2 linked regions of the Arabidopsis thaliana genome follow. The gene in region 2 interacts genetically with the main gene of each other region. Each region holds a gene or a part of one and is shown on either strand. Other genes may lie near its edges.

Region 1 (6,321 bases), 2.0 Mb from region 2:
ATGTCGACGATTCGATTCGTGTTGCTTCGGATTTGGGATTACGATTTCTGATTAATCAAATCAAGTCTTAGATCTGAAATCTCACAATGTGTGTTGTTATCTTCGATTCATGTGTAGGATGGAGTCAGCGTACAGGACATGGCTCAATGGGAAACGAGACTCTTCAAAAGTATGGGACTCTGAGCAGCTTCATAGAGATCTTCACGCAGCTCTTGGAACCACCAAATGGCAGGTTTCTTTCTTTCCTCAGAACTCAGATTCTTAATCTGTAATGTTGATTTATGAAACCTGTAATATTTTTGGTGTAGTTAGATGAATTCCAAAAAGCTGTCAAATCTAGCTATGACAATCGTTTGAGTGATGAAACTAGAGATAGGCATCGTGAGTTTACTTTCGTAATGGAAGCTCAAGTGTCGAAAATCGAGAAATCTCTCAAGGAAGCTGCGCAATCCGATGGGAAAGGAACACCGAGATGGGTTCGTTTGGATGAAGATGATCGTAATGAGCTTGCTCTCTTCTTGACTGGTCCATCTGAATCTGCTAAAGCAAATCCTAATGGACATAGAAGGACTGCAAGTGCTGCTGAATTCAGTGCTTGGAACATTGCGGTTTCTGATGATGGTTTAGTGAAGAAATCTTGTGATGAGCCAGTGGTTCGACCTCCGAGGAAAGTACCTAGCTTCTCTGGATTCTTGAATTATATGGATCCTGTGTCCAAGCATTGCAATAGAAAGTGGAAGGGTTTAGATCGTCAAGGAGACTCTGATGCTGCTTTATTACCTATCCAAGCTAACCAAGTAAGTTTGATCGATCGATCTCCAACCGCAAGATTTTTGCCTCCTGCTTTGAAAATCTTTGCTAAGAAATGCTTTTTATTTTTTTGTTTCTCAGCAAGATATGAATGGATGTTCAGAGAGGGGCAAGAGTTGTATGGAGTGTGAGGAGGACTGTTATGAAAAGCAGCTTCATGGTTGGTATGGAGCTCTACAGAGGCAACTCCAACGGTCTCAGTATCGAATGCGATATAGTAAATCGGTTCACGCTGCAATTTGGATTATTCTTTTAGTTTTTCTTATTGGTAAGATTTACTGAACTCTGAATCATTTATGTTTAGAACGCAAAGCTTACTGCATCACTTTTGAGTTTTGAGATAAATTGTTTTTTTTTCTGATTGCAGTGGTAGTTGCAGTGCATTCAATGTAGAAGAGAGGTTTGGAATAGCAAGGTTCGAGTTCATTCATCTTCTGTGTAACAGCGAAAGAGACGAATTTGGCAATCCACATTTTTACTGTACAGTAAATTCCAACTGTTTTTGGTTGTTTGTAATATAGAAATGCATTTTTTTGGTTCGATTATTTGAAACGGGTTTCATTGAGCAATCATTGTTTTCTTAGGCACCAATCCTATTAACCATTGTAGAATTATTTGGGACTAAACCCAAGATTGAAGTGGAACCTTCTAAAAATGACAATTCAGAATACAGAAATGCATTTCGTATTGGATTATTTGAAGTAACCGTTTCATTGAGAAATAAGAAAAGGTGTCAGAATTCTTTTACAATCAATCCGAGCAGAGTATTGAAGCACACGACTGCTTAAGTGGAGTTTTTGGACATGTTAGCCACCACCTCCTCCCGTTTATCGGCAGTCTCTAACTCGATGCCTTGAAATGTAAGTCTAGATGAACGATAGTGACTCCCAAACGCAGTCCCGAAACCCCACCCGAGGCCCAAACCCACCCCGCAACCGCCACCTTTGTCAAATACCAGACGCATAAGTTACGTAATTAGAATTTAGGAAAAACCTGCTCGGTGTGTATCTATGCGAGTGTGGGATATTTGAAGTAGAAGTTTGAAATGCTTACCAGCACCAACACCTAAGATGTTCATAGGCATTCCTGCATGAAAGCAACGGAAATCTCCAATTCAGTAGGTTTGCAAAATAGTATGAATCCATCAAAATGTAAGCGCAACTGATACTAGCTATGCGTTTAAGCAACCATTAGCTAGGAAAGAAGAAGCATTTGAGTAAAGATGATATGTAGGAGTTGATAATCTCTATAAGAGACATTAAGCAATATGATCACAAAACTAAACAAGCACAGCAGAGTGCATTGCACATCCCATAGCAACTAGCAAGAGAATTGTTCCAATAGAATTATCTTGTAATTCAGTCCAGATTTTGTTCAAGTAAAAGCAGAAAAAGAGAGAAGTTGAGAACGAACCTCCAAAACCCCATCCAACGCCAAATCCACAACCAACACCGAACCCTATGAATTCCAATAACTAAATTACGATTCCAATCAAAATTAAAAGGAGAAAACAATTGCGAATGGGGGCATTACCAAATCCAACACCGACTCCAGTGAAGTCAGAGAGCACCATAGTGATCTTCACAAGAAAAAAAAAGAAACCAATTTAGGAATCTATAAATTCAAATGAGCAGAAATTGCGAATCTGAATTACCCGATGATACCTTGTTTGTTGTTGGTAATCGGTGAATCTGGTAGATTGCTCTCTCTACCTCCCCCACTTAAAATCGCAAGCCCTGAAAGCAAGAGAAGAAAGGTGAAGACGATTTGTTTTAGAGACGTACCAAATTAATCGAACCGGTTTAACTAATGAACCGGGATTATTTTCAAAATGATTTTATGTAAAAGAATTTGGTCAACAGTGAACCGGCCTAATTCTTTTTCTCAAGGTCAACAACAGTCAACAGTAAAATAAAACGATCTAGTGAGCAAATGGATCAATCCATATGCAAAAATGCTCATGTCCCATTGAAATCCAACTCACAAATAGGATTTGGATGGTTGAGACAGACAAACAGATAAGTACTTATGGCCATTTTTTGGAGTAAACTAATGAGCAACGGTTTGAAATAGACAGTAGGAGGAGAAATAACATTTACTAGTTTGTGCTACAAAAGAAACTACACTCACACTATGAATTTATTGATATACAATACAAGGAAGATCGTATTCATCAGTTCCAATTGGTATGGATGACCAAGTAATATTTCTTTATACTATATGCTATTAGGTGAAATAGATGGGAGCTTCTATCATAGTATATGAAACAATATTATAAACTAAAAATTGGACTGACCTTACTAAGACTACACATTCCTAACATTATGCGGCAAAAAGAACGAACTTCTCCTGCTGTCTATTTACAACTTCAACGAAACTTCCTACAAGAATTTTAGCTTCGACAATAGCAAAAGTAAAATAACCGGTCTAGGGTTTGTTTTTGAATGAGTTATACACATTGATCTCCTGCTTCTTCACATCAACCATTTTTATGGCCGTGCAATGTCCTAATTTTGGGGCCTTGAGATAAGTCTTCAACGTGGGAATCAAATCTGAGTTCTGAAGGTGGAATGAAGCAATCTATAGACAAGCCAGGGACATTGAACGAGATTTCATCGATGACCCATGCTTCTTGCATTGTGGTCTTAGTGTTATGTCCTGATGACATATCTCCAAACCTTAAAAGCGTAGCCACGGATCTACCAGAGTGAGCTATCATGATACCTTCGACAGGTTTGTAGTCTTCTAGGTATGAGTTGATGGTCGTCTCCCAGTAAACCGCTTCGCCTCCATTGTTTTGGATTCGGGTTAGCTGGGAGTCTTCTAAGTGAACAAGCAGACCGGTTTTTTGGCTGAAGTAACCGAACAACGTATGTCTTATGGTCTCTGATGCCCCTTCGCTTCTAGCTTTGAGTGTTGCCGGGTCTGCACATAGCTTGAGAATGAAACAGTCTTCTCCATCGATCTTTTTTTCTCCTATGCACCTTGCATTTGCAAACATATACGCTGTGGTCCTCGGGTCAAGTCCCTGAAAGTTGACAACAGTAACAATTCAGTTATGCAAGCAAAGAAAAGTGTATGAGAAGGCTTCCTTGGGACAAGAGGCCTAACCTGCAGAGCACGTCGTAATGGTCTAACCGGTCCTTTTGCAGCATGAGGTCCAAGCCATGGTGTGTGTCTCCACACAAGCTTCCCGTCACAACCTGCAAGAACCTTGCTCCCACCAAGAACAAGCTCCATGTACCACATATCAGGATTCATATGCCACAACACAAATCCTCCAGACTCAACAGCTTTTGACGAATTATTCTTGCTCTTTGAACCTTTTGAGCCTGTCTCAAACTCTGAAGCCATCGTCCTGATTCTTCCCATAACATATCCATTTTGCACAGAACTATGAAGCTTTTGACCTCCTGATGCAGCCGTATACTGCTGAAGTATGTACTGAGCAGAGGAAGTCTCCTGAAAATTCAAGTATTAGTAAGAGTCATTAGACTTTACCCTCAACACATTAAAGCAGAGATAAAACTTGATAAATCTCAATTAATTGCGCAGTCTTTCTCCGTAATTAGTAGGCAACTAAAAGAAGATTCAGCTAAATTCAAGCTAGATTATGGCACAGAAGAGCTTAATTCAACATGATTAACTCCAAATCCCCAACACTGTCCTAATTTTGAGGAGACAACAGTGAATTAAGAGCTCACCATAGGTGTATTCTTGATACTGAGGTGTGGAAGGAGATCCAGAGCGCTAACGTGCACAGGACCTAAAGGTGCGCCAAGAACACCGAGGAGAAGCCTCAGATCCGTTCGTTTGAAATCCGAAGAGGACGATACTGACGGCGGAGCCACCGGAAGCTGACATTTCATCCAATTGTACCAACGTCTCTCGAACCTAGAGTAATCACCACTGCTTCCGGAGTCTTCAGCGTCTGGATCAGGACCTTCTATAACCGGAGCAAGCATCTCAGACATGTGCCGGTCCGGTTGTGTGACGTAACGGCCTTTCCGGCGACGGATGATGATCGGAGAGACGCTTCTGACTGGACTCTTGGATCGTGGTCGCCGGGAATTAGACTTGGAGAACAAGCCGTGCTTCTTATCCATAGTCGGAAGAAGAAGAAGGAAGTGTTGTTAGTAGTGTGAGAGAGAAGACGCAGGTTTGGTGATTAGAGAAAAAAGAGAGAAATGTTTGCGTCGAAGGGAAGGTTGCAAAATATAAATGTCGAATTTAATTCGTTAATTCGCTTTTTTAACCATTTCTTTTGGAATTTAATTATTCTTTTCTTATTTTGGCTATTATTTAGGGTTATACACATTTTTTTTCTCGACATCGTTGAAATTATGAATCACTGCTTCTCGAATAAAAACTTTTAAAAGTCTCATTATTACAGGCAAATGGGATTCGGGATAAGATTTAATTATGAAAATTGGTATAAGAATTTTTTTGTTATTTTTTTCTATTGAAATGGTTTTACATTCCATTTATAAGACATAAAACATTCATATTTGTCTTCTTTCTCTCAAGTCTTTTTTTTGGGCTAACTCGTTCCACATTGGATAAGAAGAAAACTTGTTACAGTTTGTGACCACAACAACGAGTTAAAAGGAGTTGCTTAATATGTTTTGATTTTTTCATAAAAGTTGATAATATGTTAATCATTATATATATATATATATATAATACTTTATTTCAAAAGCAGCATAAATTAGTGAGCAATTAGCCTTAAGGAACACGAAAGGCATGCTCTTAGAGATGGAAATTAATTAAAGTCAAAACAAAGCAATTGAGTGTTATATTACTATTTTAACAAAAAAAAAAAGGTGTTATATTACTAAAAGCAATATACAATATAGACGAGTAGGGTGTGCATGAGCATGAGCATAAGTCACAAAAGGTCAACATAACACAAAATTATTAAAAATAGTCTTCCTTTTCTGGAGTTTTCAATTTGATTCATGGGACCAAATTAGAATGGATATATATTTATATGGTTGCTTCTTACTCATTTTCATCTTTAACCTCAAATAACCATTTTCCATGGTACTTCTAAACTCTCAAGTGCGCCTTTGTGTGTTCAAACAGAAAAATAATTATGGACGACAAAAGAAAAAAAAATAACTTTTCTTATGTTTTTTTTTTTTTTTTTGTCGTCCATATTTAGTTCATATAATTGTTTTCTTAGTTTTGTTTTACCAGTCTAAAATACCTTATATCTAGTTTTAAATACCTTATATATAAGTGTTTGACAAAAAGTAAACAAATAATCATTTATAAGATTTTTTTTTTCTACAATCACACACGATTTTGATATCAAGTTATTATAGCTCAGGTTCATTCTTACTTACCAATAACCCTATTGAGCGGACGATCATTACAGCGGACGATCATTACTTACCAAAAACTTGTGTTGTGATTTTGTGCTATTATCTTCACTATGATATGATGATAAAATATTCTCTCATATATCGTCAACGTGAGGCGGGAAGTAACGGTGCCATGAGGCCGAGA
Region 2 (8,620 bases):
CGGGACAGCAGTTCTTGCTGGTAAGTTTATCTGGATTTTATTACAGACATGCTTATACCTTGAGAATGTATGTTTAAAACTAACAGTCTTCTCTATTTTGTGTTTATAGTTTGCCTCCGGATTCAAGTGAACAAAGAAAACAAGGAATTCAAGGTAATGCTATGATGTTTCCGAAAACATTAGATGACAAGTTTACTTCTCTTCAGTAATCATACCGCTGTTTTTGTTATAACAATGGCAGTTTTTCATCCCTCCTCTTTTTGCATCTAAGCTGTAGTGACACTGCAATTCTAATTTTTAAGGTGTTCCTGTTAGTGTAGTGCAAGAGGAAGACTATTAAAACTAAACTAGGAGGATTTTTATGGGAATGTGGCTATGTTTGAAGTCAGTTTTCAGCTGTATGAGATAAGAGTTTGAAAGGGAAGTAGGCAGAAACTGTTTAGGCATTTTAGAATTTCTTAGGGTTTAGGTTGGGGATGTGGGAGGGTTAGAGATTCTCGTGACCAATCACTTGGTTAGTACATTGATTCCATCGAAGAAATATACTAGGCTCTGGACATATAGATGATAAAAAAGAACTTCTGAAATCTGAACATGGGAATCAATTTTCTGAGAAACTTGTCATTGATCTCATTTTCCCTTGGGAGTTGGGGTTTATATACACCCCAATAGTTTCATTAGATTCCTGCAATGTACTATTGTATAATAACCGAAATATCATTTTGAAAACTGCAGGATTTAGCACCTGAGAGAGCTTTTGCTGATTTTGTTCTCTGCAACTTAGTCCTCCATTTGGTGATCATCAACTTCCTCGGATAGAGGTTTCACTCTCCTGTCTACAAGTTGCTTTCATGCTTTAATGTACTGGAGTTTTTAGGTGTCACTTGGAATCAAAACTCTAGTTTGAGATATTTTTGTTGTTGTCGAAGTATCAAACTTTTATTAGTGTCTCTCTCACTCAATAACAGAGTCTCCTGCAGTAATGGCCTAATGGGACCCTTTGATTCGATTCGGTTCTCTCGGCCTATATATAAACCACTCAGACTCTGACACTTGTCATAAAACCCAATCCTCAAGTTGGTGGAATTGAGTTTTGTGCCGTTTATGTCACAAACAAACTCACGATACTCTTTAAATGAGAAAAAAGGAGAGAATCTGATATCATAATTGAAGCTTATCTAGTCAGTGTGTGAAATATCACGAGTGAATATGAAGTGACAAACTGTAAATCTAATTTTACAGTTTAACTTTTAAATTTTGTCAACTATCTTAAAATTTATAACTGTTGTACACGATTTTAAAATATCATTACGTGCACGAGAACAAATATGACTTCTTTAAATTCCAACAAATTTAAATACTGACGCAACCAAGGGAAAAAAGATACATAAACTTTTTAATTTATCGACTATTTCCACAATCTATAATTTAAGAATCGTTACGTGATTTTTCGTTGTCGACGTCACATGATTTATATTTAGATAATTCATTATGTGTACACATAAGCATGACTACTTCTTCAAACAAACACAAAGGCAAATACAATGTACGGACGCAACTAACAAAAAATAAAATAAAGATGTGAGGTTATAATTTGGTCTTGAGTCTTCTTTAATTTTATTAAATTTAAAATTAATACTACATAGTATCATTATAATTATGAGTTCTTCAATGAAATAAGATTACTAAGGGGAAATTAAATTAAATTATTAAAAAAAAGAGTATTTAATTTGGTGAAAAATAAAAAATAAAAACGTGAAAAAGAGGGACTCATGGGATAAATAAAAAGGAAGGAAGAGATCTCCGTCACACACACATAAACACTCCACACGCTCTGCTTCGTCCAATCACCAAACACGCTTTAATGACTCTCACGTTTTCCTCCTCCGCCGCAACCGTTGCCGTTGCTGCTGCAACCGTAACCTCCTCCGCTAGGGTTCCGGTTTATCCACTCGCTTCGTCGACTCTTCGTGGATTAGTATCTTTCAGATTAACCGCGAAGAAGCTGTTTCTGCCGCCTCTTCGTTCTCGCGGCGGCGTTAGTGTGAGAGCCATGTCTGAGCTTGTTCAGGATAAAGAATCGTCCGTCGCGGCGAGCATTGCTTTCAATGAAGCCGCCGGTGAGACGCCGAGTGAGCTTAGTCATTCCCGTACTTTCTTGGATGCGCGAAGTGAACAAGGTTAGTTACTCTTCTTCGTCTTCTTTCCTGAGGAATTTGAATTGACTTGTGGTAGCAATTCGGAAATGGAATTTAGAGTTGTGGAGATTGTTCGATTCCTTTGTGTTCATAATCGATATTCGAGTTTGTTTCTTGTTTGACTGGATAAGGTTCATTGAATTGACTTCTTGCCTTTTGCTTCTGATCTTGCTCCATTCTTGTTAAATGGATAAGAACGTCTTTGGAATTCTTAGGTTGTGTTGCTCTTGATATGCTTTCGCTTTCTTTAAGAAGATCAGTTCATAAGGATGCAATCAGATAATTTCCTTTTTCAAAAAGTGCAAGTAGGAGTTTCTGGATGGATGTGTAACAATGCTTGTATTAACATTGTGTTTATCTTCATTTCCATCGTCAGATCTTTTATCTGGTATCAAGAAGGAAGCTGAAGCTGGAAGGTTGCCAGCAAATGTTGCAGCAGGAATGGAAGAATTGTATTGGAACTACAAAAATGCAGTAAATGAATCCTTTTATCACTCACTAGTTTGTACGATTAGTGCTATGCTTTGGAATTAATTAGATTAAAGAACATCAGTCCACTGAACTTTTGCATTGTTGTCTTACTGATGGTTTTTAGGTTTTAAGTAGTGGAGCTTCCAGGGCAGATGAAACTGTTGTATCAAACATGTCTGTTGCTTTTGATCGCATGCTTCTTGGTGTGGAGGTACTTCTTCTGTCAATCTCTTGGAATGATTTTTCTACTAGGAGATGTCATCTAAAAATTCTTTTACTTGAGCTTCCTTGCGCTGTGAATATTTCAGGATCCTTATACTTTTAATCCATATCATAAAGCAGTCAGAGAACCATTTGACTACTACATGTTTGTCCATACATACATCCGTCCTCTTATTGATTTCAAGTAAGCTGGAATATGCACTCTTAGTTATCAGATTTTATTCATAACTGAATGTAATTAGAAAGCAATATCGTTTGGTTAGTATCATTGGATCTTCTAGTTTTCTTCTTGCCATCAAGTGTTCATCTACTAACAACCCTTGAATATGTTATGCAGAAATTCGTACGTTGGAAATGCTTCTATATTCTCTGAGCTGGAAGACAAGATTCGACAGGTCATCTTCCCTCTTTCTTGTGCTCTAGTTAATGCTGTTTGCTTTCATCAACAGTTAAAGTTCTTTCCATTCAGGACTTTAATACTCAACTGTTTAATTACAGGGACACAATATCGTGTTGATATCAAACCATCAAAGTGAAGCTGATCCGGCTGTCATTTCTCTATTGCTTGAAGCACAATCTCCTTTCATAGGAGAGAACATTGTGAGCCTTCGAGCCTTGTTCTGAGCTATTATACGCTATTGTCTCTGTTCTTATTTGTTTCTTTGGTTGCAGAAATGTGTGGCTGGTGATCGAGTCATCACTGATCCTCTTTGTAAGCCGTTCAGTATGGGAAGGTATCACGAGCTTTCATTTGCAATGGTATGCTACCTGATGGGCTGAAGTGTAATCTTAGCAACCTTGTATGACTTCCGGGATTTCTACTGCTTTCAGGAACCTCATATGTGTTTACTCGAAAAAGCACATGAATGATGATCCTGAGCTTGTTGACATGAAAAGAAAAGCAAACACACGAAGCTTAAAGGAGATGGCTACAATGCTAAGGTTAATGGAACTAAATAGCGAGTGTTCTTATTTGATCTCATAGGAACAGACATTAAAGGAAAACATTGATGTTTAGTCTGCTAATGTTGATGAACCCTGTAGGTCTGGCGGTCAACTTATATGGATTGCACCAAGCGGTGGAAGGGACCGCCCGAATCCTTCTACTGGGGAATGGTTTCCTGTAAGTTATTTGATGGAATACAGAGATCTTATCTGAGTCTGGTAGATATGCAAGTACTAATCTAGTAATGTTCAGGCACCCTTTGATGCTTCTTCGGTAGACAACATGAGAAGACTGGTTGAACATTCTGGCGCTCCTGGACATATATATCCAATGTCTTTGCTTTGCTATGACATCATGCCCCCTCCACCCCAGGTATTGATTGTTTTCTTCTCTCTGTCTCTCTTCTCCGTTTTGGGCTAACTCTGGTTGACTTTCCTCTCATCATCACTTCATTGTGCATCTGCCAGGTTGAGAAAGAAATCGGAGAGAAAAGATTAGTTGGGTTTCACGGTACTGGACTATCAATTGCTCCTGAAATCAACTTCTCAGACGTCACAGCAGACTGCGAGAGCCCTAATGAGGTCTGTCTGTAACACTCAGCACACCAATGACTTTAGTTTCAAGATCGAGTAATTCATCATGCATATAAATACATTCTTGTGGTATGGCAGGCGAAAGAAGCATACAGCCAAGCTTTGTACAAGTCGGTGAATGAACAATACGAGATCTTAAACTCTGCGATTAAACACAGAAGAGGAGTAGAAGCATCAACTTCAAGGGTCTCTTTGTCACAACCTTGGAATTAGTCTCTCGTTTTAGGGTAACACTTTCAAAACTCATAAATCTTCTGTCTCAGAAGTTTTGTTGCAACTGTATATATATTGAGAGAGAGAGCATTGTTCTTTCATTTGCAGGATACACAAACACAATCAATGGAAAATACTCAAAAAAAAAAAAAATGGAGATATTATTCACACGTTGTCCTAGGGAGTTTTTTTTTTTTTTCAAACGAGTTCCAAAGCCTCCTTGAAACAACAAGAAAAAAAAAAACAGGTACGTTGTTGGTTTCTAACGTAGGAAGAAGAAGAAGTTGGTTTGTGTACATATGAATAGTGAGAGAAAACAAACTCTTGCTAGGCTCTTAGATCTCACATATGGTTTCATATGTAATATTCTTTTCTTTTTTGGAGGTTTCCTACTATATAGAGCCGAATAATTCACAATCCCAATTTATGCCTCTTCCTTCTCTCTGCTTTCTCATATGCTTCATGATTTTATTCCAATTTAGTTTTCCATATAGATTTTATAGGCTTTGATATATCAGTCAGTAACACAATTTTGCGGAAAATGGGTTTTGTTCAATTATACCACCTTATTAGTGACAATTGACAAACAGTATCTCTTATAATTTTGCAGAAAAAAATCTGAGAAACAATTCTACCATTAGTCAAAAGTGTTTACGAAATAAAAGAGTTATTGGTCAAAACATTCCATTTCACTATTGAAAACAATTTTGTTGTGATCTCTAAATTTGAAGAGCGCGTAGAGAGTGTTTTGTGTGTGGGTACTATTTTTGTGTTACTTGGCAAGTTGACAGAGATGATGAGTGTCTGGCCTGTTTGGATCCTTATGTCACATAGACACATACTACTATCTCTCAAAGCTTCTGTCCCTGTATTCACGTGTCTCTTCTCTGTTTTCTTCTTTCCACTATCTCCCCTCACTTTCTTATTTTCAGAAACAAAATCACTCGAGCTTTATTTTAAAGCAGTAAGATAAAGAAAAAGAAAAAAATCTTATTTTATTTGTCTATTTATTACATTATGACAATGAGCGACATTAGTAATAAATTATTCAAATTTGGGTTCTATTTGTCTCAGTAATTACGGATTATATTTGGAAAGCGACAACACCACTCACTTCTACTCTGTTTAAGTCAACAATTAACACTTTCTTTTAGTGTTTAATTAGTGATCAAAGTTAGGATTACAGCTTTTTCTCATCATTCTAATCATTCCTATCTTTATTTCAAGTTGATGTGATATACGACTGTTTTTCGTACTATCAAAATGATATAAATGTTCGAAATAAAAGAAGGGAATCGTGTGATCAATGAATAATAACAACTATCTAATCTGTCTCTTCTTTTTCTTATTTTCTCTGCATATAGATGCCACATTCTATGATTCGTAATCGTAATTACCTTATTATTCGTTTCTCAAACTACAACGGAGCAAATACTCTTGAGATGGAAGTGAAAAGTTACTGTGGTTTTCACTTTTCACGGCTCGATATCCACAAATAGTTATCACGAGTACCATCACCTCTTTCGTGTCAACCTCAAGAAACAAAAGTTCTTCCTTTATATTTTTTCAAGAAAAATGTGTTTTTTTTTAATTCTTGAAAAAAATCCACAATTCACTAGATGACAAAAGAAAATATAAACTGTTTGCAATTTGGATAATTAATCTTGGTAAAAAGGCTTTTCTATTTTAAAAAGTTATGTTTTGATAAGTTGATCTTATTTGTTTGGGATTATTATGCATTAAAATTGAATTTTAAGGTTTTTGTTATTTTACATTTGTTATATGTAATTTTAAATAGTAGATGTTGTCTTATCCTCACGTCTTTTGCGATAAACCATAATTACAAACAAATGGCATGTCGAAATTTGTGAGTGCACGAGTCCCAGCGAAGGGCATGCACCCTTAAATTTATGTTCATATTTAATATCTGTACACTTTTATTAGTTTCTTGATTCAATGCGATATTCATCTCACGTGGCTCTCGAATCGTTTCACATTCTCAGACCTTGTTTAATTTTTTATAATAGTCCATTGTCAGTTTTTAATTTGGGAGTATTTAGTTGCTCGATTATCGACCGATTAGTTTATTCAGTTTGTTTTTGTTTGTGTTATTCGCAATTTTTTCTTGGATGAAAACAAATGTATCGATGTTGGAATCCACGTTGTAAGGAGAAGAGTGACGTTTAAGCCTTCCTAGACAGACGATTTATATAAAAGAAACCTTAGTTAGAACTTACATCTATACACACGAAATACTCTGTGAAAAGTTACATTAAAATACACTTTACTGGACAAGTGTATCATTGTTTGCTAATTAATTAGTACATTGAATATCGATTGTTTTGTGTATTTTCGGTGGTTAATTAACCAAAAAGATTTGCAAAAGTTTAGGACTGTCACAATCTTGGCCACCGTTTTTGAATTTTGTTTGTAAAGGCTGTTATAAACATAATTATGATATAGGCTCTAATCAGTACTAAAGCATGATTTGATCAGATTAATAGTACGGTAATTAAGTGAAAATATTTTGTTTCTTAGTCGTATTGTTTGTCCACTTAATTTGCGTTGGATTTACTAATGGTGCCTTCCACCTTCGGGTATCTTTATAATTCATGAACTCCCTAATAATTACCTATCATTATTAATTTCACCTTTGTGATTTATTGATATATTTTGCCAAAATTGATTAACCTTTACTAGCTTTTCTTGATGTATTTGCTACATGATTTACAACAGCCAAATTTTTTTATCGGTTACTATGAAATGTTTGTTATCTCCGCAAGTAACAGTAAGCACAAATTTTTACATATAAAACCTAAAAATTTCTCCTTCGAGCATTATCAATTTTACCTTTGTACATTTGTTAAAAGATGAAGCCAAAATTGATTAGCCTTTACTACCACCCTTTCCATAAAAATTTACTCATCTTAAAATATAATTTCTTACTTCAACCAAACTTCACTTTTATCGATTACAAGCAAATGTTGTTTTACCTATCCAAATAATTAACAGAAAACACAATTGTTTACATATGAAAACAAAAAGTGCCTCTATTGAACATTGCGAGCAAGGTATCAACCCCTAGTATTATCGGTCTATAACTGTCGTAAATCAACCACTACTTAGGAAACCAAATTTTTAGAGATTAAACTCATACAATATTATGGTGCAAAGGTTTGCTTATTGTCCAATGTCCACTCTGAAACCATTATACAAATTCCATTGAATAACTTCATAAAATATGGTTAGTACATATAATGTCTTATGAAATAATTACATCACCCAAATTAAATTTATATAATTCTGAATGAAGTGGTTACATACCAATAAATCATTTGTACCATGGTACTTCCCTTATCGCAGATGGTCCTAGCGTGGTCTTTCCATTACTGACATGGTATTCAACATGATCTTCCAAATTGGCCTTGAACCAGGCATTGCAGTTCTTTTACCACAATTCCAAACGTATTCATGAGAGAAAAAAAATTCCTAATGGTTTAAATTTTACTTGTTATGAGCCAAGGCAACCAAAAAAATAAGACAAGTAACAAAACATTTTGTACTTTAAAATACAATAAATTTGTATCAGAGTGAAGCACGTGGCAGAGCAGGAGTGGAGAGGACCACAAAAGTAGAAGAGATTTGTACAAAATCTAAAATAGTAAGCAAACTGATTAAGCTTGTGTGGTGGTGGGACTCACTTACGGACAAAGAGTCATACAGATCTCTTTTAGAGCCAAAGTCAAACTCCAATCGAATAACTTGTTGAGTTTGTTTCTACATCTTTAAACATCACGAGATCTATATTTCACGCGCTCGAGAGCTCTTCTTTCTTCCCACGCGCCTCCGTAGAGTAATCTGCGCAAATGCGTAGCTTGGTGACTTGTCGGACTTTTTGGTGTTCCTTGAAATATTATTTTAGTATCGATCACAACTTTTCCAAAGAAATTGCACTTATCACTACTTTGATATAACCA

Evidence for each region.
Region 1: changes in ATS1 (region 2) and AT1G27695 impair growth when combined (synthetic growth defect), as found in Arabidopsis thaliana (one study listed by BioGRID).

What each region holds. Positions count from the first base shown.
Region 1 is NC_003070.9:9,635,276-9,641,596, reverse strand, and holds AT1G27695 (glycine-rich protein), read right to left. Parts: upstream 2,574-6,321; 5' UTR 2,475-2,573; intron 2,451-2,474; exon of another isoform or gene 2,390-2,450; 5' UTR 2,384-2,389; coding exon 2,344-2,383; intron 2,269-2,343; coding exon 2,224-2,268; intron 1,897-2,223; coding exon 1,864-1,896; intron 1,753-1,863; coding exon 1,595-1,752; 3' UTR 1,393-1,594; downstream 1-1,392. Other genes in the region: AT1G27700 (Syntaxin/t-SNARE family protein), read left to right, coding at 118-232, 309-797, 892-1,078, 1,178-1,203; AT1G27690 (lipase, putative (DUF620)), read right to left, coding at 3,290-3,838, 3,922-4,272, 4,515-4,916.
Region 2 is NC_003070.9:11,598,246-11,606,865, reverse strand, and holds ATS1 (phospholipid/glycerol acyltransferase family protein), read left to right. Parts: upstream 1-1,691; 5' UTR 1,692-1,864; coding exon 1,865-2,180; intron 2,181-2,574; coding exon 2,575-2,672; intron 2,673-2,793; coding exon 2,794-2,880; intron 2,881-2,977; coding exon 2,978-3,075; intron 3,076-3,228; coding exon 3,229-3,286; intron 3,287-3,389; coding exon 3,390-3,491; intron 3,492-3,563; coding exon 3,564-3,625; intron 3,626-3,722; coding exon 3,723-3,833; intron 3,834-3,935; coding exon 3,936-4,014; intron 4,015-4,089; coding exon 4,090-4,209; intron 4,210-4,304; coding exon 4,305-4,418; intron 4,419-4,508; coding exon 4,509-4,643; 3' UTR 4,644-5,195; downstream 5,196-8,620. Other genes in the region: ATDAD1 (Defender against death (DAD family) protein), read left to right, coding at 1-20, 110-153, 736-819. UniProt on the Arabidopsis thaliana protein: Esterifies acyl-group from acyl-ACP to the sn-1 position of glycerol-3-phosphate. The enzyme from chilling-resistant plants discriminates against non-fluid palmitic acid and selects oleic acid whereas the enzyme from sensitive plants accepts both fatty acids.